Sus scrofa: one gene and its partners. The protein of the gene in region 1 interacts with the protein of each later gene in a pairwise test. Links are inferred from orthologs where the notes say so. Each region holds a gene or a part of one and is shown in the gene's direction. Other genes may lie near its edges. The genes, in order: TRAF3IP1, FGFR1OP2, OLFM1, DMD, IMMT, SMC4 and SPTBN1.

Region 1 (3,500 bases):
GAGCACCCCCGTCCCTGGAAGGGAGTGACGGTGATGAGGAGAAACCCCCCCTGGGAGTTCTCCTTTCCAAACTTCATCCTCCTTCCTGTCCTGAGGGACCCTCATAAGAGGCTGTTCCTGCTGTGGGACCTCTCAGGGCTGCCTGGTGGTCCTTAGGCTAAGGCCGTGCTCCTGAATGGCTTTGCAGGCCAGCCCCTGCCGACTCCCTGGCCTCAGGCTCCTCCTGTCCGCACAGTTCTGGTCCTTTGAGCAGGACCCTCTTGGCCCTGGACCTTGTGGGCCTGTTTCTTTTGTCCGGCACGTGCTTCCTTGTACCTCTCCCCCGGTTCCCTGTAAGCTTCTGGGCTCAGTTTCGATGTGAGTGGCTGGGAAAGTGTGTCCTGACACCACGGGGCCCTCCTGCTCGTGGATCGGGGGTGAGCCTGTGCTCCCTGGGGGTCCCTAGCCAGGCTGAGCTCTGGGAGGACCGGGTGGGCTTCTGCCTGCGGTGTGGCCTCGCCGTGGCAGACACGCAGGTGTCTGTCGAGGAAGTGTGTCAACAACCTCCTGCGCGTGGACGGGTTCTGGCAGCCCTTTGCTCAGGGCAGTGGGGGAGGCTGATGGACGGGCTGTCCCGAGGGTGCTGACCAAGGCCTCACCTTCTCTCTGAAGGTGATTCGGATGACCGGTTTCATGAAGGGCCTCTACACGGATGCGGAGATGAAGTCCGACAACGTTAAGGTAGGTCCGAGGGGCTCTCCTGGCCCCGCCTGCGTGAACGCGGCTCTTGTGAGCCGGGCGCTGCGCCAGCTCTCGCTTCCGTGCTGACCTGTGGCTGGACCGCCAGGCTGGTCCCTCCCGGGGTCGCCCTTGCTCTTCCTCGTTTCGTGGTCTCCCTGGCAGCGAATTTTATCCTCGAGAGATGGCATTAGTCTTCTAAAGGTTCATGCCAGCCCATCAACCCAAACGCAGAGCTTTCTTGGACTTCGGTTCCTGGTTGTTGTTGTTGTAGAGAGTCAGTATCTCTAAACTGGACGTACATCTGAAAATCGCTTTTTATCTAAACCGGAACCGTGTCTGTTGAATGTACTGAAGGTAGCGTACCCTCCTCTTCAGGTGTTGTAATATTTGCCTTTTATATGGAAATCTTGCAGGATAAAGATGCAAAAATTAGCTTCCTCCAGAAGGCCATAGACGTGGTGGTGCTGGTCTCCGGAGAGCCGCTGTCGGCGAAACCGGCCCGGATCGTGGCCGGGCACGAGCCTGAGAAAACCAACGAGCTTCTCCAGAGACTCGGAAAGTGCTGTCTCAGCAAGGTGCCCCCTGCCCGCCCCCTCGGAGTGGGAACCCACCGGCGGGAGGAGGGCAGACCCCAGACGGGAGGGCAGACCGCACGGTGGGAGGTGTTCCGGGGGAGGAGCTCCAGGCCGGCTCGGAACCTGACCCTGCCCGGAGTCACAGAAGTAGTTTAAAACCGCAGGGTGTTCCTGTGAGCTCTGTGGCCGGGAGTGTAAGGCAGGGACTTGGGCGCTTTGGGCGGGGCACACGTGGCTGGAGGCCCTGGGTGCCTCCTCCTTTGGGGCCTCCTTTCAGGGCAGGTGACTGTTTCCAGCCAGGACCCGGGTGGCCGAGGAGCTGCTTTTCTTTGCCTTGGGGCCTTGTGGAAGGTCCCTGTTCCCTGCCTCCTCTGGGGTCTGCCTCCCTCGGCCCCGCCCTCTCCTCCAGGGCGTTTGCAGAGCTGTGCCGCCTCTCTAGAACCTCTCTCACTTGTGCAGGGGCTGGATTGGTTACTCCTGAGATTTTCTCCATGGGCTAGAGTCTTGGCTTCTCTGGCCTCATGGTACCCCAGCACCCCTGGAGCAGGTCATCCCCAAGGCCTGCCTTCTTTGGGGGAGCTGAGGAGCCCCCGGGGAGCGGCCATGGCCCTTTCTCGCGGAGCTGATGGGCTGCAGGGGGGGCTGACCTTCGATGTCCCCAGGGTGGGGAAGGCGGCTCTCGGCTCACACAGCAGCGTGGGAGTGGGAGGGGGCTCAGGCTGGGTCCCAGGCCTGGGGACGCAGAAGCTGATTTTGCCCATTTGCTGGCCCCATCCTGGCCCCCATCCCAGGCCCTGTGCGTTGCCCGTCTCTGAAAGCACACCTGACTGGTGCTCCTCCCGCGTCCCCGCCCAGCTCCGTGGCCCCAGCTCCGTGGCCCAGCTCACGGAGCCCTTGAGACCTGCTGCTGCTTCCTCCCCGGTCCTTTGCTGTCACCCCTGTCCCGCCCAGCCGCGCTCCCACCACGCTGCTGAGCTCTCGGCTGGCGCTGCTGCAGCGGGCAGTGGGCAGCCGCGCGGGATTGGCCTGTCCACCCTCCCCCAGGCTGACTTGGCATCCTTGTCACAGTGCACTAACTTTTGACGGCTGTATTGGGCCCCTTGCCCATATGCCGTGTGTCCCCTGCCTGTGGTCGAGTCGCTCACGTGTGCGTGTGGAACCCGTGAGTGTGTGGGCGACGGGGTTCCCGGCCGCACAGGGTCAGGGACCAGGTGGCGGTCGAGCGTGGTTGTGCCCTGGCTGGGGCTCGGGTTAGAGGGCTCCGTAGGGGCCTTTCAGGGCCGGGCCTCTGTGACCCGAGCCAGGGGGAAGGCGCTGCTGGGCCGCGTGGACCGGCGTCCGTGCCCTTGAGCAGCACGTGTCCGCTCTTGGCCGCTCGGGTGGAACGGAGCCGGCCTCGCGGAGCGCGGTGGCCTCTGCGGTGAGCGGGCAGAGCGCCCGAGGGCACGGCTGGGGCCGAGGCAGCACGTTGTCGGCAGAACCTCTCCTTTTAACGTCCGTCCCTGGCGGGCTGCTCTGCACGTCGACATTGGGGTGTGTTCCGCTCACGGATGTCGTTGTCACCTTGCGTCTTGTTCCTCCCGCGGGGTAAGCTCTCCAGTGAGGACGCCGTGAAGAGAGTGTTGGCCGGAGAGAAGGGGGACGTGAAAGGAAGGCCCTCGCTGGCGGCGAACCCTCGAGGAACGGATCATAAGAGCATGAGGGACGGAGAGTCCGGGGTCCCCAGAGGTAAAGAGGTGAGTGCAGGTGGTACGTCTGGACCTGAGCCCGTGGGGCCTTTTGTGGTCCAGGTAAATACAGCAGCGGCAGCGCTACTTGGCCTTTCTTTTCAGGAGAGGAGAAGAAACTCGGAAGTCACCGCGGGAAGTACAAGCCGAGAGAGGAACCAGAAAGAAGAGCTGAGAGAAGAGAGCCCGCCGCGGGACAAGGAGCGGGACAAGGAGAAGGCCAAGGAGCGGGAGCGGGACAGACGTAAAGAGCCCGCGAGAGACACGGCCGGCGGAGGGGAGCGCGAGCGGGCCAAGAATAGGCCCAGGCCCGGCCGGGACCGGGACGCGGAGCGGGAGCGGGAGCGGAAGGTCGAGGCGGGCAAGGAGAAGGAGCGGGGGAAAGGCCGCGAGCGGGAGCGGCGGAGGGCGAGAGACGGGGAGCACGCCCGGGACCCCGACAGGGAGAAGAGCCGCGAGCACGACAGGCCGGAGAAGG
Region 2 (3,189 bases), on another chromosome or scaffold:
AAATGGCCAAAAAAAAAAAAAACTTACAAAATATGACAGATGTTTGTCTTGGTATCATTCTTGCTACCATAATCTAATCCAGAGCTCTAATCCAGAGCTGTCCAACAGAACTTTCTGCAGTGATGGAAATATTCTTTATTTATGCTATTCAGTATGGAATCTACTAGCCACATGTGGCTCTTGAGCACTTGAAGTGTCACTTGATGCAGCTGAGGGACTACATTGTTAATTTCTTAAAAGGTATTTGACTTTTTTGTTTTTAGGGCCACACCTGCAGCTTATGGAAGTTCCCAGGCTAGAGGTCGAATCCGAACTACAGCTGCCAGCCTATACCACAGGCACAGCAATGCCAAATCCAAGGTGCATCTGTGACCTACACCATAGCTCACAGAAATGCCAGACCCTTAACCCACTGAGCAGCGCAAAGGATCAAACCTGCATCCTAATGGATACTAGTTGGATTCATTTCTGCTGAGCCACAGTGGGAACTCCCTGACTTTTAAGTAATTTTACACCATACTGAACAGCATAGTTCTTTTATTTTGCTTTCTTCTGTGTACTAGCGTTGTAGAGGTTGTGTGAAAATTAATATAACAATCTATATTTTGTTGCTTAAGAAGATATTAAATGTATGGTTTATTAAAGATACTCTTGATTGTTCTCTAAGATATTGCTTCCATAGTTTACTAGTTTTGTAGTTTTGAGGGGTCTTGTTCAAGTCCTTTTTACAAATAGAGTATATACGACTTAGTGTTTATCTGGGGAGCTATTAACGTTTATATTTTGGTTTTGGCCTTACTATAACAAAATAACCCTCAATGCCAGTGAGCAGTGGGCTATATATAAGTTCATTTTTTAAAAAATCATGTTTCTGTTTATTTTAAGTCTTTTATCTGTCTCTTTCATTGACTCTCAGCGCCTTGAAATCAGGGAACATTCCTTAACAGGCTTTGTATTCTTTTTGCCTAACACTTGCCTGGCACATTATAGGTATGCATAGAAAGAGTAAAATAATGACATGGGAAGAAACTTATGCTGCTTGCTCTGCCAAACAAATGCGGATGTCTGTACTAAAATTATATTTTGAACAGTTTGCAAGAAGGTCATTTATTATTTTAATACTTAAAAACAGAACTCTCTTCATTTCACTTGATGTTTATTATCTATTATGTACCTAACATTAAATAATAAGCAAATATAAACAGTACACAGTTCCTGTTCTCGAGGAGGATTATAATTTAGAAAGATTCTAGATAGAGTTGAGATCAATTTCTAGGTATGGATAATACAGAAAGTATTTGTAAAAGAGGGATTAAATGTTTATCTTTCACATTACTTTGACATTGGGGTATGTAAGTTCCCCCCAGAAAAGTTTGCTGATCATTTGCAGTGAGAGAACTATGAAATATGAATATTCTTCTTGTTAATGGATTTAGTTATATTGTGCTGCTTATCCTTAATCCTAGTCCCAACAGAAATCTGATTTCAAAAACACATATATGGTCAGTCAACTTTCTTATAAATATCTGTTTGATATATTACATTTATGTTAAATGACAAGGTAAAGATAGTATGTTTATATTAAGTAGCAATGCAGGTTTTATAAAAAGGAGAGGATCTAGGGTGTCCCCTTGGATCAGCGGAAATAAATCTGACTAGTATCCATGAGGACGCAGGTTCGCTCCCTGGCCTCGCTCAGTGGGTTAAGAATCTGGCATTGCCGTGGGTGAGCTGTGGTGTAGGTCGAAGACTCGGCTGCAATCTGGTGTTGCTGTGTCTGTGGCGTAGGCCGGCAGCTGTAGCTCTGATTTGATCCCTAGTCTGGGAACCTCCATATGCTGCAGGTGTGGCCCTGAAAAGAAAAAAAAGAGGAGATCCAAAAATAAAAATAATCAAGTATTTCACTGATTGACAACTTCCATCTCTCTCTCTCTCTTTTTTTTTTTTTTAGGAATTACAAGCACATGTTGACCAGATAACTGAAATGGCAGCAGTAATGAGGAAAGCCATTGAAATCGATGAGCAGCAGGGTTGCAAGGAACAGGAACGAATATTACAACTCGAAGTAAGTTTTAAATTGCAAATGTAGGTGAAAACTGTCTGTACAAAGATTTATGCCAGAAAATATATCCCATTTTTATCTTATTTTATTTATCCCAGTTTTAAATACATACTTTCTGGGATACTGGTAATGTTCTTTTTCTTAATTTGGATATTACTTATATGGTTATATAATGCAATACCATTTATATAGTAATGCAAGTCTGGGATCAGTAGTAAACAAACTAGTAATTGAGAAAATTGATTTTTTAAATCCTGTGTTGCTTCTGTTCTTAAGTGAATATACTTCTTCATTTTAGTAATTAAAAAAAAAAAATGTTAGAATTCTCATCATGGCTTGCCAGTAACGAAGGATGAGGATGAGGATGCAGGTTCAATCCCTGGCCTCGCTCAGTGGGTTAAGGGTCTGGCATTGCTGTGATCTGTGGTTTAGGTCACAGACACGGCTCAGATCCCTCGTTGCTGTGGCTGTGGTATAGGCCAGCAGCTGTAGCTCTGATTCAACCCCTAGCCTGGGAACTTCCATATGCTGCAGGTGCAGCCCTAAAAAGACAATAATAATAAAAATAAAAGCTTCATTTTGAAATCATAGTGGAGAAATTGGTTACAGAAGGCCAAATGTGACTTTTCTAAGCATATAATGTTCTCTTATTCTTCATAACAAAAGTAAGGAAACTTTTTCAGTAAAAAGCCAGATAGTAAATCTTTTTTTTAAAATTTATCTTATGAAAGTAGAGTTGATTTACAATGTTATGTTAATTTCTACTGTATAGCAAATTGATTCAATTATACATATATATACATTCTTCTTCGTACTATTTTCCTTTATGGTTTATCACAGGCTATTAAATACAGTTGCCTGTGCTGTACAGTAGCAAACAGTTAAGTCTCTTAAGCTTTGCGAACCAGGCAGTCTCTGTTGCAGCTCCTCAACTCTGCCATGGTAACACAAAAGCAGCCAGACCCACAAGAATAGGATTGGACTCAACTGTGTTCCGTTAAAGTTTAGTTTACAATAACAGGCCTCAAGCCAGGCCATAGTATGCCAATCCCTGTTTTATACCTTTGACGCCTCGAAAGTAAGACCAAAGACAAAGCACTAGAGAATATATTATAAAAGTTATTTTA
Region 3 (3,500 bases), on another chromosome or scaffold:
CCCTGGGACGAGCAGGGCAGGAGCAGCAGCCGAGGGAGAGGTGGGGGTCGGGCCAAGACACTCACCTCCGTGCCGTGCCCTCTCTTCCAGCATGTGGCAAGCTGACGGGCATAAGCGACCCCGTGACCGTCAAGACGTCCGGCTCCAGGTTTGGGTCTTGGATGACGGATCCTCTGGCCCCAGAAGGTGACAACAGGGTAAGTGCCTTCTTCCTCAGGCCCAGGTATGGGTCGGGTTTGGACCGTCCTGGGGGACAAAGCTTGGTGGCCCTGGGGGGTGTTCCGGGGACTTTGGGGAGCGGCCCAGGTCCCTGGCTGAATTTTCCTGTGCCAACCCAGAGTCACAGACCCAGGGCGGGGTTCCACATGCAGTGGACAGTGGCAGTGATGGGGGCTGTGGGCTGCGACGCGCCCCCGCAGGCAGGGCTCTCTCCCTGGGGGCTCGGAGGCGCCTCTAGGCCGAAGCCTTCAGAGGCTGGCGGCCCTGCCCCCGCGCCGCTAGGCCCTCTTGTTTTAATGACTTCTCATTTGGGTTTCATTTGCCATTCCTTTCATGGCTGATGGAAACGCATGTTCTTTTTTGATTTAGGAAAAAAGCCACGTTCTTTTTTTTCTAGACGTTTCCCCCTGGGGTAAAAACTCTGAAAGAGAGAGAGACGAGTGTTGTATCTGGATGAGGAAGCGGGGCGCTGGGTTCTGTGGTTGGAGTCCCTCTGGGGTGTGGGGACAGGCGGCTGGCTAGCATCCTTGGGGAGCGTTTCACCAGAGGGGAGTGCCACACGCCCAGCTTCTGGGTCTCAGCGGAAGAGAGGAGTGGCGGGCAGCGCCATCCCTGGTGACCCACCCACCTACCGCTGGCACCCAGCCGTCCAGAGCCTTTCTTTTCCAGCCCCTTGCTGGCAGGACGTTTAGAAAATAAACATTAAAAACGGCCGATGAGAAAGGAGCTTAGACATTTGAGATCCCCGGAGCGGCGTCTGGAGGACCTTTAGTAGGAAGGGACCTGGAGCTTTCTGGCCTGTACCTCCCCCACCCCTTCCCGCCCTTCCGGCAGCCTGACGGCTTCTGTCTAGAACAGGAAGGGGCACCTGTCTCTGGCACACTGTCTCCTTCTGGGGGGGACCGAGTCGGGCTGTCTAGTGGCCTGTGCATCTGCCTTTATCCGACAACTTCCGGCGGGAGGGGGCCCCCCGCACCTCCCCCGACCCCGGGCAGGCCTGAGCTTCTTCCTGGAGCCTGTGCCTGGTTTTGCCAGCAGTGTCCAGAAGGCTGCAGACCCCGGCTACAGCTAGGGGCAGGTATTTGGGGGCTGAAGTTCCTTTCTGTTTTGTTTTCGGAATTGTGGCAGCTAGCTGGTGCTTGGGCATTTTCTAACAATTTAATTGGCCCATGAATGACCAGTGCATGGCCAGTTTCCAATGGAACTGGCCCGTGGTTACCCCAGCCACCGTTCAGTGCTGTCCCCGTGGAAAGCCCCACTCTGTCCCGCGTTTGATCAGGCACCTGCTCTCGCCGCAGCCATGGGTGATAATTACAGTAACTGGGCTGGGAGAACCAGACCGCGACGGCGGGGCCTGGGGGGTTCCGGGGTGTCCTGTCTACCCGTCCTGCTTTGGTCCCGCAGCCGCCCTCCAGCCAGCGGGTCACAGTGGTCTCCGCTCTGCCGATGAGAAAAGCCAGGCTCAGGAGGGCCACGTGACCCGCCCAAGATCTTGCAAAGGCTGGACAATGGTTTTATTTATTAGCCACAGGCCATTGATTAGCCGTGGATGTTCTGAGCTGAGGCCCCTCTCGATTACCCTCCCCCTGCCTCGTGCCCCCACCCCACCCGCCCCCCTGCACAAACCCAGCAGGCTGCTGGGACCTGAGAGCTGGAACCACTGAGCCTGGTACAGCTGGGACGAGCCCCAGGCTGGAGGACCCTCCACGCCTGACTCGACACCAGAGGCACCGCTGGGTCCCCCATCCAACGTCACTTCCCTTTGTTGTCGTGAGTGCTCTTCAAATTGCCTTTTCTCGGACACCAAGCAGCAGGGCTCCCAGAAGCCCCCGGGCCGCGTGGATGTGGGTTTGCGAGGCGGCGAGGCGGTGATGGATGCGTTTGGAAATTAGACGTCTCTCTTCTGCTTGATGACTTGATCACCTTCAGGGAAAGGGGCCCTTGTGATGGACGAGGCGGATGCCGGGGGAGCGGGAGGGCGGAGCCGGAGGGCGGCCGGAGGGCCTGGGCACGGAGGGAGGGGAGCCGCTGGCCGGCAGGGGGCCGTGGGGGTCCGCTCCCAAGCTTTGGGCAGTTGGCAGCCCTGCCCCAAGCCAGGAGCTCTGCACAGCTGCCAGCTCGCAGCCTGCAGGGGACACGTCCGCAGGCCCCACCGTTGGTCTGGAAAGGCGCTGCTTTGTTTCCTTTTGGTCTTTTCCAGTCTTCCAACCCATTTTGATCACACACGCTGGAGACCAGTAACTCCCTCCAAAAACAGAAATCAATGTCAGCTTCAGGGCCAGAGGCTCCCAGGAACAAGCGAAGAGGTTGGGGCCCGCGAGGGTGGGGTGGGGTGTCGGGGAATGCCTTGGGCTCCCTGGTCAGGGAGCCCCTGAAGGGGCCTTCGCGTCCCCCTGCCTTTGTGCGGAGCTGTGAGAACCAAGCCAGCTCTTTCCCTAAGCACCAGCTGTGTGCCAGGCTCTGTGCTGGGCTCTGGCGGTCTTCTACCCGGTCCGGAAGCAGCCTTCTCACCACGGTGACCGGGCCACGTGCTTCCGAGGGCCCCAGGGCTCCAGAAGCCCGGTCCTCGTGCCCGGCTATGCCCCCCTGCTGGGAGACCACGTGTGTTCCAGGGACCCAGTTCCCGGGTGCAGAACCCCAAGACCTCTGACTGTGACCCTCCTGGGGGCCGGCTTTACCATCCTCTTACTGGCCTCGAAGTCCCGGGATGGCTCACATCAGTCCTTAGTGAGGGGACCGGCCGGCCTCTGGCCCTGTTCCAAGGAGGCCATCTCATCACAAAAACCCTGCCATTGCACAAACAGCAGTGAGCTTAGCTGCATGTTTAAAAGTCCTTCCCTGTCGTCTAAACAGTGTCCAGCCATCCACCCGGGGTATACAGATCCTCCGAATCCCGCTTCCCGAAGGGCAAGTGCTCCCAAACGGGCAGCCGCACTGTCCCGTGCGGTCAGCGGTCAGCCCAGAGCCCGCGCGGCTCAGGAAATGCCAGCGCCCCTTCTAGCCGTCTCTCCGTCGTCGCAGGGGCTGTCTGGGGGCTGCCGACCCCGCCCCCTTTGGACCCTCCTCCCCAGGGGAGTCTCCCCACCCCTCTTGCTCCCTTCGGAGCCCTTTGCCCTTTGCCCCAGCTCCCCGGGGTCACCTCCTGCTGGGGATGTCACGTCCTGCCACAGCAGACCAGACACAGCCAGTGGCTCAGCCAGCGCCCCCACCCCACTGCACCTTTCTCAGCCGTGTCCCTGCCTCACCGTGGAAGGTGGGGGCCCCGTGCCCTGCCCTGCACC
Region 4 (4,112 bases), on another chromosome or scaffold:
ACATCTCAGGCTGATGCTAATTGAGAAATACCTGGTTGAGGCTCCATCCTGAGAGTTGTTCTATGTTTAAGGAAATTTTGGAGTGAAGCATAACATTTTTGTCAACATAAATTATCCACTGCTATGCAAAAGGCCAATCTGGGGATAGAAAACACGACAGCAAATATATTATGTTTTTAACCTAAGGCAATATAATGGAAATGGAAGAGGGTTACTGATAAAATTGCCTTTATGAAGGCACCCGATTGTCTGTCTGTAAGTCCCTTTATCACAATGTTTTTCAAACTTGATTGCATATTGGAATAACTGGAGAGCTTTTCACACTGTTAATGCCCAGGTGAGAGTCCAGCACAATTAATCATCATTTCTGGGAGTGGAAACCAGGCCTTAGTGGTTTGTAAAGTTCCCCAGATGATTCCACTGTCTAGCAATGGTAGAGAACCCTGCTTTAGAAGAGGCTAAGAATCTACTCTGGATGAAAATGCAGAGGAAAACAGGAAAAGAAAATCCTTAGCTGTTGCTAGGCCCCTTGCCAAGCTCTTCTTGTAAAGTTAATTTGTCTTTGGTAGGTGATGGGCAGGATTTGGGGTGACTGAGCTTCTGCAGGAAGAAATGCAGGATGAACTATATATGTGTAGGGGTAGGGGGGAGGAGTAAGGTTACTAACCAAATGAAAGTAGCTTCTGAAATTTTTAGAAAATAATGTCATACGAGCTGTTTATAGTCCAATCTAATTCTAGCTTCAGTGGTGGGAGGAAGGGATGGAGGAGGGAGAGTGATTACACACAGAAAGAAGGGTGGGTAGCTTTGGAGAAATCTCCTAAGAAATATGATTATGCTCAGCCTGTATTCCCCACTTCTTGTCAGTGCATTAGAGTCAGGATACAACGATGGTGGGGTACACACGTGTGAGTGACCCAGATAGCTAAAGCCAGTGACCCTTCTCTTCAGTGTAGTCATCTTATAAGTGGCAATGCTAAATCATTCATGACCTCATGTGCTGCTTTTGGCAAGCGATTCCCTAATTGCTCCTGTTTTTGCATCGATTCTGCGCAGCGTGGAAAAGCGAGTCTCCAACTTGCTGGTGTATTTATTGACCATCGGGTCCCTCCTCAGCTTTCACCTTCCAGTCCTCGCCCACTCTATTTTGGGGGCAGGAAGTGGGAATCGCACCTGTTTCCTCTTCTCAAGCATGAGCTGGGCATTTTAACCGCCCCCTCTTTCCACCAAGCCAGGTGTTGGTGTTTGTGTGTTTTCCAGCTCACCATCCCTTCCCGCCGCCCCACTCCACCCCACCCACCCCCACGCATCCCTATTTCCGTGGGTGAGGACCCAGGAAGGTGATAAATCCACCCTCATACACCGGATCTCCAGCGCGCTACCTGCTTTGGAGAGCATCAGGCAGACCGCGCGGACCCACCTGCCTCCAAAGTTTGGGGCGTGGGAGAGCCAGGGCACGTGGCGTGTGGCTATGGCTCAGCCAAGGGGTCCGGAGCAGTCAGGGGAAGATGCCGCTGGAGATGGATTCACCGACGTCATCAGGAGCCGCGCTGGTAGGACCTTGCTGTTTTGCTTTTTAGCGTGGGGGTGTCGAGCGTTGCGGCTCCTCTCTGCAGAGGCTGTGCCCTAGAAGTTAGTACAGGGTTTCGGAAAGTTGTTGTGGCGAGGAGTGAAGGAGCAGCAGGGGACAATCACTACGCCCCCGAGCTTGGGAGGGTGGGTCCGAGGGAGGAGGGGGCGCCGCTCCTCGAAAAAGCCGAAACTCACGTTTTTCTTTTGGGTCAGGTAGATACTGGTGGGCGAATTTCTTTCTCTCTCTCTCTCTCTTTTTTTTTTTTTCAAGAAAGCCTCGGGATATTGGTTTTATTATAGGATGGTAACGTATTTTAAAAATGTAAAAGAATAAGCAGACTAATTTAAAAGAAATATTGTCGTAGTAATAGCCTTTGAGGAGAGAGGGGTGGGGAGGTGTGGGAAGGCCTGCTGGTCAGGGTGTGGCCAAGTGCTGAGTTAAGAAATCTGAGAAGTTTCACCTCACTTGTAGGAAAATGTCAGAAGGGCAGGGCAGGAAGGTTTGCGTGCCCAGAGCATAACTATAGGAGTTGAAAACCAGTAAAGAAGCAGGAATAAAAAGTCTAAGGTTTTTGCAGGTTACCACAGTGCCCTTTCATTTGTAAAGAATCTTCAAGTATTTGGTAGTCTGGCCTACATGTGCAAACACTTGTAAACTAGGATAGGTCTTTAAAGCTGTAAATGGAAGCAGCTGTTAAGCTTTACCAAAGGATGAAGTTTCAGCTGCTTGAATCCCTTCCTCTCACCCTTGGAAATGCACCAAATTGTGGACAGCAAAATTGTGTTGAATGTTGAAGAAGACAAAGGCATAAAGTTAATGTGCAAGTGTATTTCTGATAAGAAATTAAAGAAAATATCACAGTAGAAAGCAAACAAAAATGAGTAAGAAACAAAAATTGGTTATAAACTCCCCAAAAGGAGTTCAGAGCAGGATTTCTTTTCACAAGGAGTAAACTTGTATATGCAAGTAATGGTGCCCCTAAGTCAAAAAAGAATGGTACCTCTGACAATGCCTGGGAGGAATAGTTGTATCCAATTTTAACATCTCTCTTATCTTCTTTTCCTCATGCCATTACTTAACATGTTTCTCTGATTTTAAAGGGAAATAGGGTAAACTTTCCTAAATGGAATGCCCTTCTCATTCAACACATAGGATGAGAGAATTGGTTTTAAGTAATTACCTTAAAATAGCAATTTGAAAAGATACATTGGATAGTTTCATATATAGCTTTAAAATTGCTATTGTTTATACAGTTTATTAGACAAGTTCCTTGTAGCTATCATCTGAAATATGCAGAAGGGCATTTACTATAAATCTGTAACAGGGTATTATTTTGGGTAAAGTGTGTTAATTTAAGAATTCTACAAAGTATTTTTATATTGTGCTACTTCTACATTTGACAATGCATGAGAAAAGGAGAAAAAGATCTCCAAATTTATTTTTAATACTAGGTTTGTGTGGGTTCCTGTGTTGTGGAAATGGTTAGTTTAAATCCATCTCTAAGGAAAATTTGACCTTTCTATAACTTTGAATTCCACATCAGATATTACTTTTGAGTCACTTTAAAATGGAATTTTGTTGTTGTTGTTGCTGTTTACATTTGTGAAATTAAGCTTTTATTAGAACTGAGACTCCCCATGGGGTGAGTGGTAGGTAAGTCCAACAGGTTACTTTATTTTCACAACCCACCTTTTTCTTTTTGATAAGCCCTTACCTTTAAGGGTTTAGAGCCCATTAAATAAAAAAAAAAATTGCTTTGAATATTTTAGTTTCTGTACCTTCATGAAACCCGTATTTTCTGTATTTTTTTATAGGTTTTGATTTTGTTTTTAATTCTGAAGCACAAGGGGCATCTGCTATTAATAAATGCTTTTTGTAGCCAATTTCTATGCACAGGAAAAAAAATAATGTGGTGGGACTAACAGTAATGCCAAAAAAAAGCAAACCTAAGAACCTGTTATATGGTAATAAATAATTCTCCCCGCTACCACCCCTCCCCCTGACTTTCTCTCACATATTAGTCTTTCCTAGACCTAGTTAAATGACAAGGTAAATTTTACAATGCCTCAAAGGTTATAAAAATAAACTACATAAAATGATTGTTTTCAGTGGCACTATTGAATATTGTTTCTTACACTGTTAAAAAGTATAACTCATAAAAATTGAAGATACAAAGATAATTAAAATAAAAATTTAATAAATAGTCATACTTTATTACATGGATTTTTATACAGGTGTTCTTGATTCATCATTTGAAAAGTCTTAATAGTGTGGTACTTTGAGTATCTCTTAATTTTTCCTCTCACAACTGCTTATGCTTAACTCATCTTCAACAAGGACAATACTTGTACGTAGTTAATCTTTCCATACATGACCTCGATAATCATGGGAGTTCTATGCCTTGGATAAAAACTGTTAGAAAATGAATGGCTAGCCCCAATCAGAACTTTCACTCTGGTATAAAAATCAGCTATCTGGGAGTTCCCGTCATGGCTTAGTGGTTAATGAATCCAACTAGGAAGCATGAGATTGTGGGTTT
Region 5 (4,208 bases), on another chromosome or scaffold:
AGAAATTAATTTTGGAGTTTGAAATCTTGAAGATGGAAAAGTTGCTAATGATATTGAGGCCCAACGCTGTGCCATACATGGCTGGAGGAGATGTTCATTGACATTGAGAGGTTTATGGCCAAGGTGTTAGAAAAGTCATCACACTGGCGTCAGCTAGCATGAGAGCAGTGGGCAGGGATGGGCTGGCAGGGCTGCCGTTTAATTGTTAAAATTACTAAAAAAAAAAAAAAGTGGGCGACTGCTCTTGAGGCTAAGTGATGGCAATGTGAAATATCAAGTATAATGTAATTACAAAATTATTCGGAAAAGCAGTAAACCTATACAAACATAAGTAATCATTTGATTTTAGATAATTTTATTTTTCTGTTTTTTGGACTTTTAGGGCTGCATTGGTGGCATATGGAGGTTCCCAGGCTAAGGGTCTAATGGGAGCTGTAGCTACCAGAGCCATACCAACGCCAGATCCCAGTCTGTGATCTACACCGCAGCTCACAGCAACGCCGGATCCTGAACCCACTGAGGCCAGGAATTGAACCCGCAACCTCATGGTTCCTAGTTGGATTCGTTTCCGCTGCGCCCCAACGGGAACTCCTTAGATAATTTTCAAAGTCACTTCTTTACAAATGGGATTCAGTAGCGTTGTCTACCGCTAGGGAGAACTACAATGAACTATCTAGTTAAGACTTGAAGTACCTTACACACGCAATAGATAAGTTATTTAGTTTCTATGATATTGTGATAAGATCATTACTAGTACTAATAGTATTGAATAGTGTTCAATATTTAACATATGTTTCCGTGATTACAGAATCGGTGGAATGCTTTGAACAGTGTTTCTGCACTGACTTCATCTCACAGATTGTGGCCAAAATTATCTTTTTAAAATACAAACTTGGTGGAGAAAGCAGTGTGGTTTAATATGGAAGGAGTAGAGACTGTGGAACCTGAAGAATCAGGGTCCCTATCCCTTCTCTGCTATTTATTAGATACATGAACAAATAATTTTGCACAAAGGTCTCCTCAGTGTTCTCTCACCCAGCCTCTCAAAAGCATGACTCCCTGAAGGACTGTCAAACAAAACAAACGCGGAAACCGAGACACTACCGTCGTTTACGTAACTTTGGGCAAATCCATTCCTTTCTACGAAATATCCAGCCGACGGAAAAGGCTGAGCCACTTTCCTGCTAGAATTCTCCGAAGAATCACACCTGCTCAGTTTTCGCAGGAACCGAAGCCCCAGTTTCCGACGTCCTCCAACCGGTTCAGTTCACCTAGTACCCTGGGCTTCCCGCTACAGACCAGAACCCGAAGCGCAACCCGGAAAGAGAAAGCGCCCTTTCCGTCCCGACAGAGCCCAGCCTCTCGGAGGGGCTTGGACAGGGGCAACAGGAGGTTGCGCATGCGCAGTGGCGGTGGCTGCCCTTCCGGTACGCAGGGCGCGGACAGGCGGCACGGACGCAAGCACGCTTGCGCGCGCGCACGGTCTCCCCTTCTCGCGCCGCCGCCGCCCCTGCTCTCACTTAGACCCGCAGCGCCGTCCGCCGCGCCGAGATGCTGCGGGCCTGTCATTTATCCGGCGTGACCTCCACCGCCCAGGTAAGGATCAGGGCGCCGGAAGAGAGTGTGTGGTGACGGGCAACCTACTGAAAGTGGGGGAGGCTTTGTCTCTGCCTAGGCCCGGGGACAAAGGCGTGTCTCAGGGCCGCCTTTATCGCGAGAGTGTCGGGTGGGCCCGTGAAGCAGTTAATTCGGGAGTTTGCCAGACTGGGATGACTTGAGGGTTATTGCTGAGCGGGATGGGGCATGAGGAGAAGGTGGCGGGGAGGCGGGCATAGGACGGGAGGCACGGCCTAGGGGACGTGCCATCCAATCAGCCCTGCGCTGCCCCAGTCTAGGACCAATCGAGGCTACTGGCGCTCGGGTCGCCGGTTGGGCGCGTGATAGGTTTCGCACAGTCGGTGGTTGAAGGTCGACAGGGAAAAACTACACTTCCCAGCAGGATACGCACAGCCTTGTCTTATTGCATCTTAGTAAGGCCGTTCTTGGACTGCTGGAGTCCGCGTTTTAGGGGTCAAGGTTGTAATTATCACGGAGGAGGGATTGCCCTTCTTTTTGTAGCTGAGAACACCTCTTGAGCTCTTCGTTCTCTGAACAAAAATGAAAGGTTGTAGTTTATGGAGCTCGAACTCTTGGTGCTCAAGGAAGGTTAGGCGACATGACCTTGTGCTCATTTCTGAGATTAGCCTGTGTCTCCAGGTGCTGGGACAACTTTGGCACACATTCAAGGAGGTTAGAAACCCAGTTCCTTTTATTTCTGCATGATTGTCAAAGTAATTTGCTAAAATTAAAAATAAAAAAGGTAAACCTATTCCCACTGCTCACAATTAAAGAAAATTGGTATTTTGGCAAAATGTGATGTTGCAAAACAGGTACTGTGACTCATGCAATTGAGCAAAATCCCTAGACATAGTGAGTTAGAAATCATAAAAATCAAACTTAATTTTTTCTTTCAAGTTTTCTTATTTCCCTTTCATTTTAAGGGTAAGAGAAGCAGCCTCTTCCATAGGAAAGTGGGGTGTGTGTTGGTTTTCTATTGCTATATAACAAATGCCACATATTGAGCAGCTTAAAACAAAACCGTTTCTGGACATGAATGGGGTTCTCTGCTATGGTATTGTCCCCACTGTGGTTCTCATTTGGAGCTAAGGGTTCTCTTCCAAGCTCTTGTAGTTTGTTGGCAGAATTGTAGTTTGTTGTGGTTGTAGGGCTCAAGTCTTTGTTCCCTCCCACCCCACACCTCCGGGGTTTAAGTGGGTTTAATTCGGAGCTGCAGCAAGCTGCATCTGCAACCTACACCACAGATCATGGTAACACTGGATCCTTAACCCACTGAGCAAGGCCCGGCATCGAACCTGCGTCCTCATGGATACTAGTTAGATTTCTTTCCACTGAGCCACGATGGGAACTCCCCCTCAGACCCAGATTTAAAGGGTTTATAGGATTAGGCCAGGCCCACCTGGATCACCCCCTTCTGATTAAATTCAGGTCATCTGATTAGTAACCTGAATTATATCTCTGATACTCCTTTTGCCATACAACCTCGGATCATGGGCTTAACTGCAGGGGGCAGAGATCATGGCGGCCATATGAGAGTCTGGCCCTGTTGTGATGCCCCAGTTGGGCTAGGAGGGGGCAGGATGCAGAGCTGCCTTTTGGGGCGGGACTGTAGAAGTTTGTCTCTGGAGCCCTCCTTTCATGGCACTCTCTTCATTATTTTGCCCTCAGGTTACATTGTCACTGTCTGCAGTAAAGTCCAAAATTACTTTTTCCTTCCTTGCCTTTATCAAAATATTTTCTAAAAACTTAATGGGATTCCATTTAGGAAATTAGAAGAAAACTGGTCAAAACTTACTACTAAAATATGAATCCATTTCTAGCCTACAACCAAGATTTCTTACCTTCCTAAAATTTCTGTCTTGTAAAATTCATTGGTTTATTCTTATCTTCTCGTTCATTCCATGGTGTTTGATGTGTTATTTTGTGAAACTCTTTTCGCTCTTTTCCCTTTTCTCATGTAGTATCTTGGGTCCCAGGTTACCCTTCATCTTTTTCATTTTCCTTTGTTGAGTCTGCTTTTTCTTGTACCCCTGGGAACCCAAGTATCCCAAGGAACTCTCTTCCCCCTTCTCCCCCTCTCCCTAGCTCTTTCTCTCTCTTAAATTAAGACCTTATTTTTTTAGAGCAGTTTTAGCAAAATGGAGGGAATTTACCACATATCCTGTGTCCCCACACATGTATAGCCTTCCCAGTATTAACACCCCTCAGTAGAGTGTTAAATTTTTACAATCGATGAACATACACTACCATATGATTCTCTGATGTCCATAGTTGACATTAGCATTCCCCCTCCCACCTTTTTTTTGGCTGCACCCATGGCATGTGGAAGTTCCCAGGCCGGGGATCGAATCTGAGCTGCAGCTGCATCCAGAGCTGTTGCAACACCAATCCTTAACCTACTGTGCCATGGTGGGAATCCCAGCATTCACCTTTGATGTTGCACATTCATTCTTTTAGACAAATGTATGACAACATGGGCGAATCATTTATCCATCATCTTGTATCATACAGAGTATTTTCCACTGTCCTAAAAATCCTCTGTGCTCCGTCTGTTTGTCACTTGCCTACCCCTCCGCCTGGCACCCACCATT
Region 6 (3,500 bases), on another chromosome or scaffold:
ATGTTATTACCTAATAGGATTTTAATAGGTGGACATATATAAAAAGCATTCTGACCAGTTTAAAACTGATAAAGCAGGTATGCTTTAGCAAAGTGTGATTCTATAACTCCTCAGTTGTGAGGATATGGAAGTCAAAGTTTTGTATCTCTGGCTTAGAGGAGTAGGTATAAATCATTTAAATAAATCTAGGTCTTAAGAGAATAAGGATGAGCTCTCTTAGCAAAATTGCTGTAATTTAAATTTTTAATTATCCAGATTATTCCATTGTCTCAATTTTTTTTAATATTCTTAGATCTTGTTTATAAAAGTGTTTCTGAAATAAAGCTAAGTCTGTATATAAAATGTTTGGATGTAAACAAACATCCAAACATTTTAAGACAATTTTTTGTCTTAAAATTATAACATTGGCTGCAAATTGATTCTTTGGTTATTCAGTTATTGCTGTGTCTTTTGTTCAGCGGTAAGGTGCTAATAAATAATAAGCCTTTTGGTTTTGCCTAAACATAGTTAGCAAAGTAATTGTAACTTTATTAAGAGAAAATATAGTCAGGTGTGTGTGTGTGAGAGAGAGAATGTTGTGGTCCCAATCATCCTTCCATATCCATCCCCCTGCTCCTGCCCCTTGCCCTTGGAAGCACTTGTTTCCACTGACTTGATCCAAGAGGTGTTTGTTTATTTGAAGGTAATAGCTTCATGGGTGTAAAGATGTAAGAATCTCAATCAGACAAGGAAATGACAAAAATAAAATAATTGAGTGAGACAACTTTGCTTCATAGTCTAAGATCAGATGATATATAAAGGCTTATATAAGAAGTTTCGGAGTTCCTGTCGTGACTCAGTGGTTAACGAATCTGACTAGGAACCATGAGGTTGTGGGTTCGATCCCTGGCCTCGCTCAGTGGGTTAAGGATCCGGCATTGCTGTGAGCTGTGGTGTACATTGCAGACGCGGCTCGGATCCTGCGTTGCTGTGGCTGTAGTGTAGGCCGGCGGCTACAGCTCTGATTCAACCCCTAGCCTGGGAACCTCCATATGCTGCGAGAGTGGCCCTAGAAAAGGCAAAAAGACCAAAAAAAAAAAAAAAAAAAAAATTTCATTAATTTATACTGAGTTTAATAAAATATACAACATCCCACAAATGTTTGTATAAACATTTAAGAACTAATTGAAGGATTTTAGCAAATCAATTTTAAAATCTATGATAGAAAAAGATGTTGCATTAATGTCATGAAGTGTTGTTGACACTTCATGACAGAAGCAGAATAACAAGTTAAACCCTACCACAATTTTAATATATCATTTTGCTTGTTTAGAAATCTCAAAAAAGCACAAGACTCTGTCTTTCGCACAGAGAAAGAAATAAAAGATACTGAGAAAGAAGTAGATGACTTAACGACAGAGCTAAAAAGTCTTGAGGACAAAGCAGCAGAAGTCATAAAGAATACAAATGCTGCAGAGGTAAGTGGGGGAGAGAACAGTATTTGAAGCAATTAGGAGTTAATAGACATCAGTATCTTGCATAGTAAGCACTCAGGTTAGAACTTATAACTATATTAACTTTTATATGTACAATAAAAATGAGTGCTATATTGTAACTTTTATTTAAATAAAAACACTTAAAACGGAAAGGGCATAGGGAGAGATTGCTAACTGCTTCATTTTTGTAATGTGAAAATCCCTGTTCTATTTGGAAAGATCATATCTATAGCAGCTATTATTGATTTTTAGGAGTCCTTACCCGAGATCCAGAAAGAACATCGTAGCCTACTTCAAGAATTAAAAGTAATTCAAGAAAATGAACATGCTCTTCAAAAAGATGCACTTAGTATTAAGTTGAAACTTGAACAAATAGATGGTCACATTGGTGAACATAATTCTAAAATAAAATATTGGCAAAAAGAGGTGAGCTTGTTACTATTAGTTAATTTTAACTTTAAAATAGCCTTTATGAAAAAGGGTTGGGGTTTTTTGTGTGTTTTTAAGGTATGTTGTGATTCCATGATACATATAATCACTTCTCAGGTTTATAGGTGACATAATGAACAATACAAAGTTGTTATTATATATGGAAAAGTATGAGTAATGATGAATTAGTCAACATTTTCACCCCAGGGCTGATATGGAGAGTTAACAGAAAGTTACAAGAACACTTGGGAACACTACCACAATTTTTCTTTAAGTCCTTTGTAAAAGTGTTGATCTACAAATTAGTCACCACTCCTTAGAATACACCATTGTAATTTATAGGTAATTTATCATATTCATTTGGGGATTTTTTTTAACAATGAAATACACTGTGGTTTCCTAACACTCAACTAAATTAAACTTTTTAGATTTCAAAAATATCATTGCATCCCATAGAAGATAATCCTGTTGAAGAGATTGCAGTTCTAACTCCAGAGGATCTTGAAGCAATCAAGAACCCAGATTCTATAACAAATCAAATTGCACTTTTGGAAGCCCAGTGTCATGAAATGAAACCAAACCTTGGTGCCATTGTAGAGTATAAAAAGAAGGTACAAATGAGCTATTCATGTGTAATGGTCAGAAAATCTGTTTATTCCTTAGCCTAAATTGTGGGCTTTAATTTTATATAATTAGCAGCATTAATTCTCATCTCAAATGTGTAACTGGATGTTTTTCTCATAATAATATTCTCTTCATAGGAAGAGTTATATTTACAACGGGTAGCAGAATTGGACAAAATTACTTATGAAAGAGATAATTTTAGACAGGCGTATGAAGATCTTCGGAAACAAAGGCTTAATGAATTCATGGCAGGTTTTTATATAATAACAAATAAATTAAAGGAAAATTACCAGATGCTTACTTTGGGAGGCGATGCTGAACTGGAGCTTGTAGACAGCTTGGATCCTTTTGCTGAAGGAATCATGTTCAGGTTTGTAATTATGCTGTATACTGAGTTGTGGATCCTTCGGTTACATCTCTACATATTCTCCAAACAGTGTTTTTTAGGGGTGGGATGTGAAGGTTAGATCTATAACTTGTTTTATCTGATAAATACCAGTTTGCTTACATTATTGGCAATTGATAGCTTAAACCCTGTAAAACAGTAAATACTTGATTTTACAGAATATTTGTTTACTTCATCTTTTACTTTTTGAGCCATTTCAATTTAAGATCAGAATTTTAAAATTTCAAAGTAATAATTGCATTGAAAACAAGGGAAGATAGTAAAAACTGCCTATTGGCATACTGTTTAAATCGTAAATTTTTGGTAGGTGTTCCTATTCATCCTCCAATAACATTTTTATAAAATAACCTTCAAAGAGTTTAGATTTGTGAAAAGCAAATTAGAGATTCTCAAAGAAGCAGCCAGTTACCAGAAACAAATCAGTCTTAATAACTTCAGCTTTACACGTAATTTGACAAGAGATTTTCTTCATTATTTCAGTGTTCGACCACCTAAAAAAAGTTGGAAGAAGATCTTCAACCTTTCAGGAGGAGAAAAAACGCTTAGTTCATTGGCTTTAGTATTTG
Region 7 (3,500 bases), on another chromosome or scaffold:
AGGGTTTTATTTTTCCAGACCATATGGTGTCCCCTGAGCTGTTTTGTTGATACTTGGTGTCCATATACTGAGAGAGGTGATTTTCCCAAAGGATGTAGTCAAAGCAGAGGTGGAGAGGGGAAATCCCAGCTTTGACTGTCACTGTCAATTTCATTGTCCAGCCGTGAGCTTCTGGCCTCTCTCACGCTGCTTTTTCCACCACCCCTGCACCCACAGGTGGAGTCAGTTCAGGGAGCTGGTGGACCGGAAGAAGGATGCACTCCTCTCCGCCCTGAGCATCCAGAACTACCACCTCGAGTGCAATGAAACCAAGTCCTGGATCCGGGAAAAGACCAAGGTCATCGAATCCACCCAGGACCTGGGCAATGACCTGGCTGGCGTCATGGCCTTGCAGCGCAAGCTGACCGGCATGGAGCGGGACCTGGTGGCCATCGAGGCGAAGCTGAGCGACCTGCAGAAGGAGGCTGAGAAGCTGGAGTCCGAGCACCCCGACCAGGCCCAGGCCATCCTGTCTCGGCTGGCCGAGATCAGCGACGTGTGGGAGGAGATGAAAACCACGCTGAGGAACCGCGAGGCCTCCCTGGGAGAGGCCAGCAAGCTGCAGCAGTTCCTGCGGGACCTGGACGACTTCCAGTCCTGGCTCTCCAGGACCCAGACGGCCATCGCCTCGGAGGACATGCCCAACACCCTGACCGAAGCCGAGAAGCTCCTCACACAGCATGAGAACATCAAAAACGAGATCGACAACTACGAGGAGGACTACCAGAAGATGAGGGACATGGGTGAGATGGTCACGCAGGGCCAGACCGACGCCCAGTACATGTTTCTGCGGCAGCGGCTGCAGGCCCTGGACACCGGGTGGAATGAGCTCCACAAGATGTGGGAGAACAGACAGAACCTCCTTTCCCAGTCCCACGCCCACCAGCAGTTCCTGCGGGACACCAAGCAGGCTGAAGCCTTTCTCAACAACCAGGTAACTCCCTCTCTGCCTGACCTGCCTTCCCATAGCCCCGGCTGTCTTTGGAAGCATTCCCACCTGGGCTGCTGGTTTAAACCTGGCCTCTGTGAAATTAGAAAAATAAGAGGCATTTGTTATTTCATGACTTCTAAAGCACTGAAACCCATCACAATGTAGGAGATAGAGTCGAAGTTTTCCAAAGGGGCAGTCTTGCCTTGCAAAGTACCGTTCTCCTCCAGCCTGGACGAGGACCTCTTGTGTTCACAGAGTGTCCTTTTGGTAGCTTATTAGATTTTTAGGCAACATTCTGTGGGATATTAATCCAATCTAATTAATCTAAAAGGTACAGTGGGGATTTCTTTTTTCTTTTTTCTGAATGGTTCTGTCTTCCTTGTTCTAAGAGTCAGGGACTTCCCCCAGTGACACAAGGCAGGGATTAAAGAAAAAGAGCTGAGGGTGGTCACCAGCATCGGGTTGATAATCGCTCTTAAAAGCTTTGGACTGAAGGTCTGTCACTCTTGCCTTACAGGCACACCAGCCGACCCTTGTGGCTACTGCACAAGCCTTTGTGTATGTCCCTCACTCATTTTGGGAAAAAAATTTAGAGCCATTAACCACTTAGGGAAATTTCAGTCACTTTTAATCCTCTGGGATTCTTCTCCTTCCCAGCTTTATGTTATCTGACTCCGTAGATAACTTCATTTAAGTGTAATGAAGGACATGTTGCATGGAAATGTAGGACGTAGGAAAGAGCGCTTTTGTTATTCTGAAATCGAGTTGTAGTTCGAGTTCTCATCCTGCTGCTATTGTGTTTTTTCCTTTTTAAATAAGGAGTATGTCTTGGCCCATACTGAGATGCCCACCACCTTGGAAGGGGCTGAAGCAGCTATTAAAAAACAAGAGGACTTCATGACCACCATGGATGCCAACGAGGAGAAGATCAATGCAGTCGTGGAGACCGGCCGCAGGCTGGTGAGCGATGGGAACATCAACTCGGATCGCATCCAAGAGAAGGTGGACTCCATCGATGACAGGTATGGTCCTGAGGTCCTTAAGGGCTTCTTGCAACCTGGGACTCTCCTGCGTCGGAATCATTGGCTCAAGTCACATGTCTGAATCACTGGTCAGTGTCCTTGGGGCTGTGGTTATAAATTCCCCATTGGGCAGGATTTGGGCACCTAGCAAAATTTAATCTACTCGGGAAAAGAAAGCCTGAGAAATAGAACCAATCCTTAACCTTAAGGCGTGTGACATGAGCAGCCGTGTGGTGTAAGCTGTGCGCTTTGAGAAGTGACACACAACATGTCACCCAGTAGGACCTCAAGAGCCAAGCGCTTCCCCAGCCAAGCCCACACTCAGCTTTATCCACACGTGCCTCTTCTGAGGCCCTTCAGGAGGAAGTGGGGAGAGAGCAAGGTTTGCTTGTCCTGGCTGAGCCACAAAGGAACATCATCAGGCCTTAGAAAATTGGCTTGGACAGTGCTGTAATGGGATCTTTTTCATAATAAGAGCAAAGACCCTTTCCGCCTTCTACTGGAGTCTCTCTAAGATTAGATGCTTTTATTTTATTTCTTTGCAGCTCTAAAAAGATTTTTCTCCTTAACTGAAGGCCAGTGTTCTCTGTTAGCCCCTTACCCTCTCACTTGGCCTTGGTTACCATTAAAGTAGGAGATCTGGGCAGATCTGACTTGGATGCACCGGCCTGGGCTGGTTTTGAGCCCACCACTTCTTGTCTGAGTGTGGCTTATCTGGGTCAGCCACTAGTCTCTGTTCCAGCTGATTTCTGATCCCAGTTTAGGCCGGATTTAAGGTCTCATTGTGAGACTGATGTCATCGAGAAACAAGCTCTTCCCCAAGGCTTCTCTGGCCTCCAAGTGCAGTGAAGAGGAAGAACTTCTTGCAGAGAGCAATTCCTTACTTAACCACATCCAAGAGGGTCTCCTGGGACCCTGAGCCAGATGAGCTTTTTGTGATACACAGTGGAGAGGGGAATTCATTCCTCTTTCCCCGTAAGGATTGAGTTCCTGGCTTTAGGCAGTCTGTCTTCTGCTCCGATTCAGATCCTAAACCTTGTGCTCTAAGGGTAGTACTATGGAATAGGGTATGAGGTATATTAATTATAGTCTTGCATCCATTGTTTTTAAAAGAGCTCCAAAAAAGAAAAAAAAAAAAATCTCTTTACCAAACCCTTCATACTGAGTGTGAGAAACAAGGATTGGGCAGGACATTCTTCACCTGGAGAAAAGAATTTCTTTTTCTCCTAATGTTAAATCTCTTGTTGTTTTGTAAACAAGGTACCCCACATCCCTCGGTGTTAGGTGCACACAGCCAGTTTCCTGGGGGCAGGCTGGGCCGTTGGGGACACGTGTGTTGAGGCCGGCATGCAGCTGCCTGGCAGCTTCCTCGGTTTGTTTATCTGTCCCTCGGTGCTGCAGCTGCAAGGGCTTGTTGGGAACAGGTGGTGTTGTCAGGACCGGAGACTCCTGGATATGAGAGAGCATTTCAGCAGCTCTCAGTTGTGGCCTAACCTTCCTTTTGCCCT

The links.
Region 2: the proteins of TRAF3IP1 (region 1) and FGFR1OP2 interact in a two-hybrid assay, tested with the Homo sapiens proteins (2 studies listed by IntAct). The link is inferred for Sus scrofa from reciprocal best matches to the Homo sapiens genes TRAF3IP1 and FGFR1OP2.
Region 3: the proteins of TRAF3IP1 (region 1) and OLFM1 interact in a two-hybrid assay, tested with the Homo sapiens proteins (2 studies listed by BioGRID and IntAct). The link is inferred for Sus scrofa from reciprocal best matches to the Homo sapiens genes TRAF3IP1 and OLFM1.
Region 4: the proteins of TRAF3IP1 (region 1) and DMD interact in a two-hybrid assay, tested with the Homo sapiens proteins (2 studies listed by BioGRID and IntAct). The link is inferred for Sus scrofa from reciprocal best matches to the Homo sapiens genes TRAF3IP1 and DMD.
Region 5: the proteins of TRAF3IP1 (region 1) and IMMT interact in a two-hybrid assay, tested with the Homo sapiens proteins (2 studies listed by BioGRID and IntAct). The link is inferred for Sus scrofa from reciprocal best matches to the Homo sapiens genes TRAF3IP1 and IMMT.
Region 6: the proteins of TRAF3IP1 (region 1) and SMC4 interact in a two-hybrid assay, tested with the Homo sapiens proteins (2 studies listed by BioGRID and IntAct). The link is inferred for Sus scrofa from reciprocal best matches to the Homo sapiens genes TRAF3IP1 and SMC4.
Region 7: the proteins of TRAF3IP1 (region 1) and SPTBN1 interact in a two-hybrid assay, tested with the Homo sapiens proteins (2 studies listed by BioGRID and IntAct). The link is inferred for Sus scrofa from reciprocal best matches to the Homo sapiens genes TRAF3IP1 and SPTBN1.

What each region holds. Positions count from the first base shown.
Region 1 is NC_010457.5:137,866,612-137,870,111, forward strand, and holds part of TRAF3IP1 (TRAF3-interacting protein 1), read left to right. Parts: intron 1-651; coding exon 652-720; intron 721-1,133; coding exon 1,134-1,295; intron 1,296-2,887; coding exon 2,888-3,031; intron 3,032-3,127; coding exon 3,128-3,499; intron 3,500-3,500.
Region 2 is NC_010447.5:46,796,807-46,799,995, reverse strand, and holds part of FGFR1OP2 (FGFR1 oncogene partner 2), read left to right. Parts: intron 1-1,951; coding exon 1,952-2,065; intron 2,066-3,189. UniProt on the Homo sapiens protein: May be involved in wound healing pathway.
Region 3 is NC_010443.5:274,253,241-274,256,740, forward strand, and holds part of OLFM1 (noelin), read left to right. Parts: intron 1-90; coding exon 91-197; intron 198-3,500. UniProt on the Homo sapiens protein: Contributes to the regulation of axonal growth in the embryonic and adult central nervous system by inhibiting interactions between RTN4R and LINGO1. Inhibits RTN4R-mediated axon growth cone collapse.
Region 4 is NC_010461.5:29,647,928-29,652,039, reverse strand, and holds the start of DMD (dystrophin), read left to right. Parts: upstream 1-1,312; 5' UTR 1,313-1,471; coding exon 1,472-1,553; intron 1,554-4,112. UniProt on the Homo sapiens protein: Anchors the extracellular matrix to the cytoskeleton via F-actin. Ligand for dystroglycan.
Region 5 is NC_010445.4:58,573,772-58,577,979, forward strand, and holds the start of IMMT (MICOS complex subunit MIC60), read left to right. Parts: upstream 1-1,408; 5' UTR 1,409-1,551; coding exon 1,552-1,596; intron 1,597-4,208. UniProt on the Homo sapiens protein: Component of the MICOS complex, a large protein complex of the mitochondrial inner membrane that plays crucial roles in the maintenance of crista junctions, inner membrane architecture, and formation of contact sites to the outer membrane.
Region 6 is NC_010455.5:100,112,713-100,116,212, forward strand, and holds part of SMC4 (structural maintenance of chromosomes protein 4), read left to right. Parts: intron 1-1,312; coding exon 1,313-1,457; intron 1,458-1,727; coding exon 1,728-1,901; intron 1,902-2,332; coding exon 2,333-2,515; intron 2,516-2,665; coding exon 2,666-2,898; intron 2,899-3,414; coding exon 3,415-3,500. UniProt on the Homo sapiens protein: Central component of the condensin complex, a complex required for conversion of interphase chromatin into mitotic-like condense chromosomes.
Region 7 is NC_010445.4:86,620,317-86,623,816, reverse strand, and holds part of SPTBN1 (spectrin beta chain, non-erythrocytic 1), read left to right. Parts: intron 1-216; coding exon 217-973; intron 974-1,789; coding exon 1,790-1,992; intron 1,993-3,500. UniProt on the Homo sapiens protein: Fodrin, which seems to be involved in secretion, interacts with calmodulin in a calcium-dependent manner and is thus candidate for the calcium-dependent movement of the cytoskeleton at the membrane.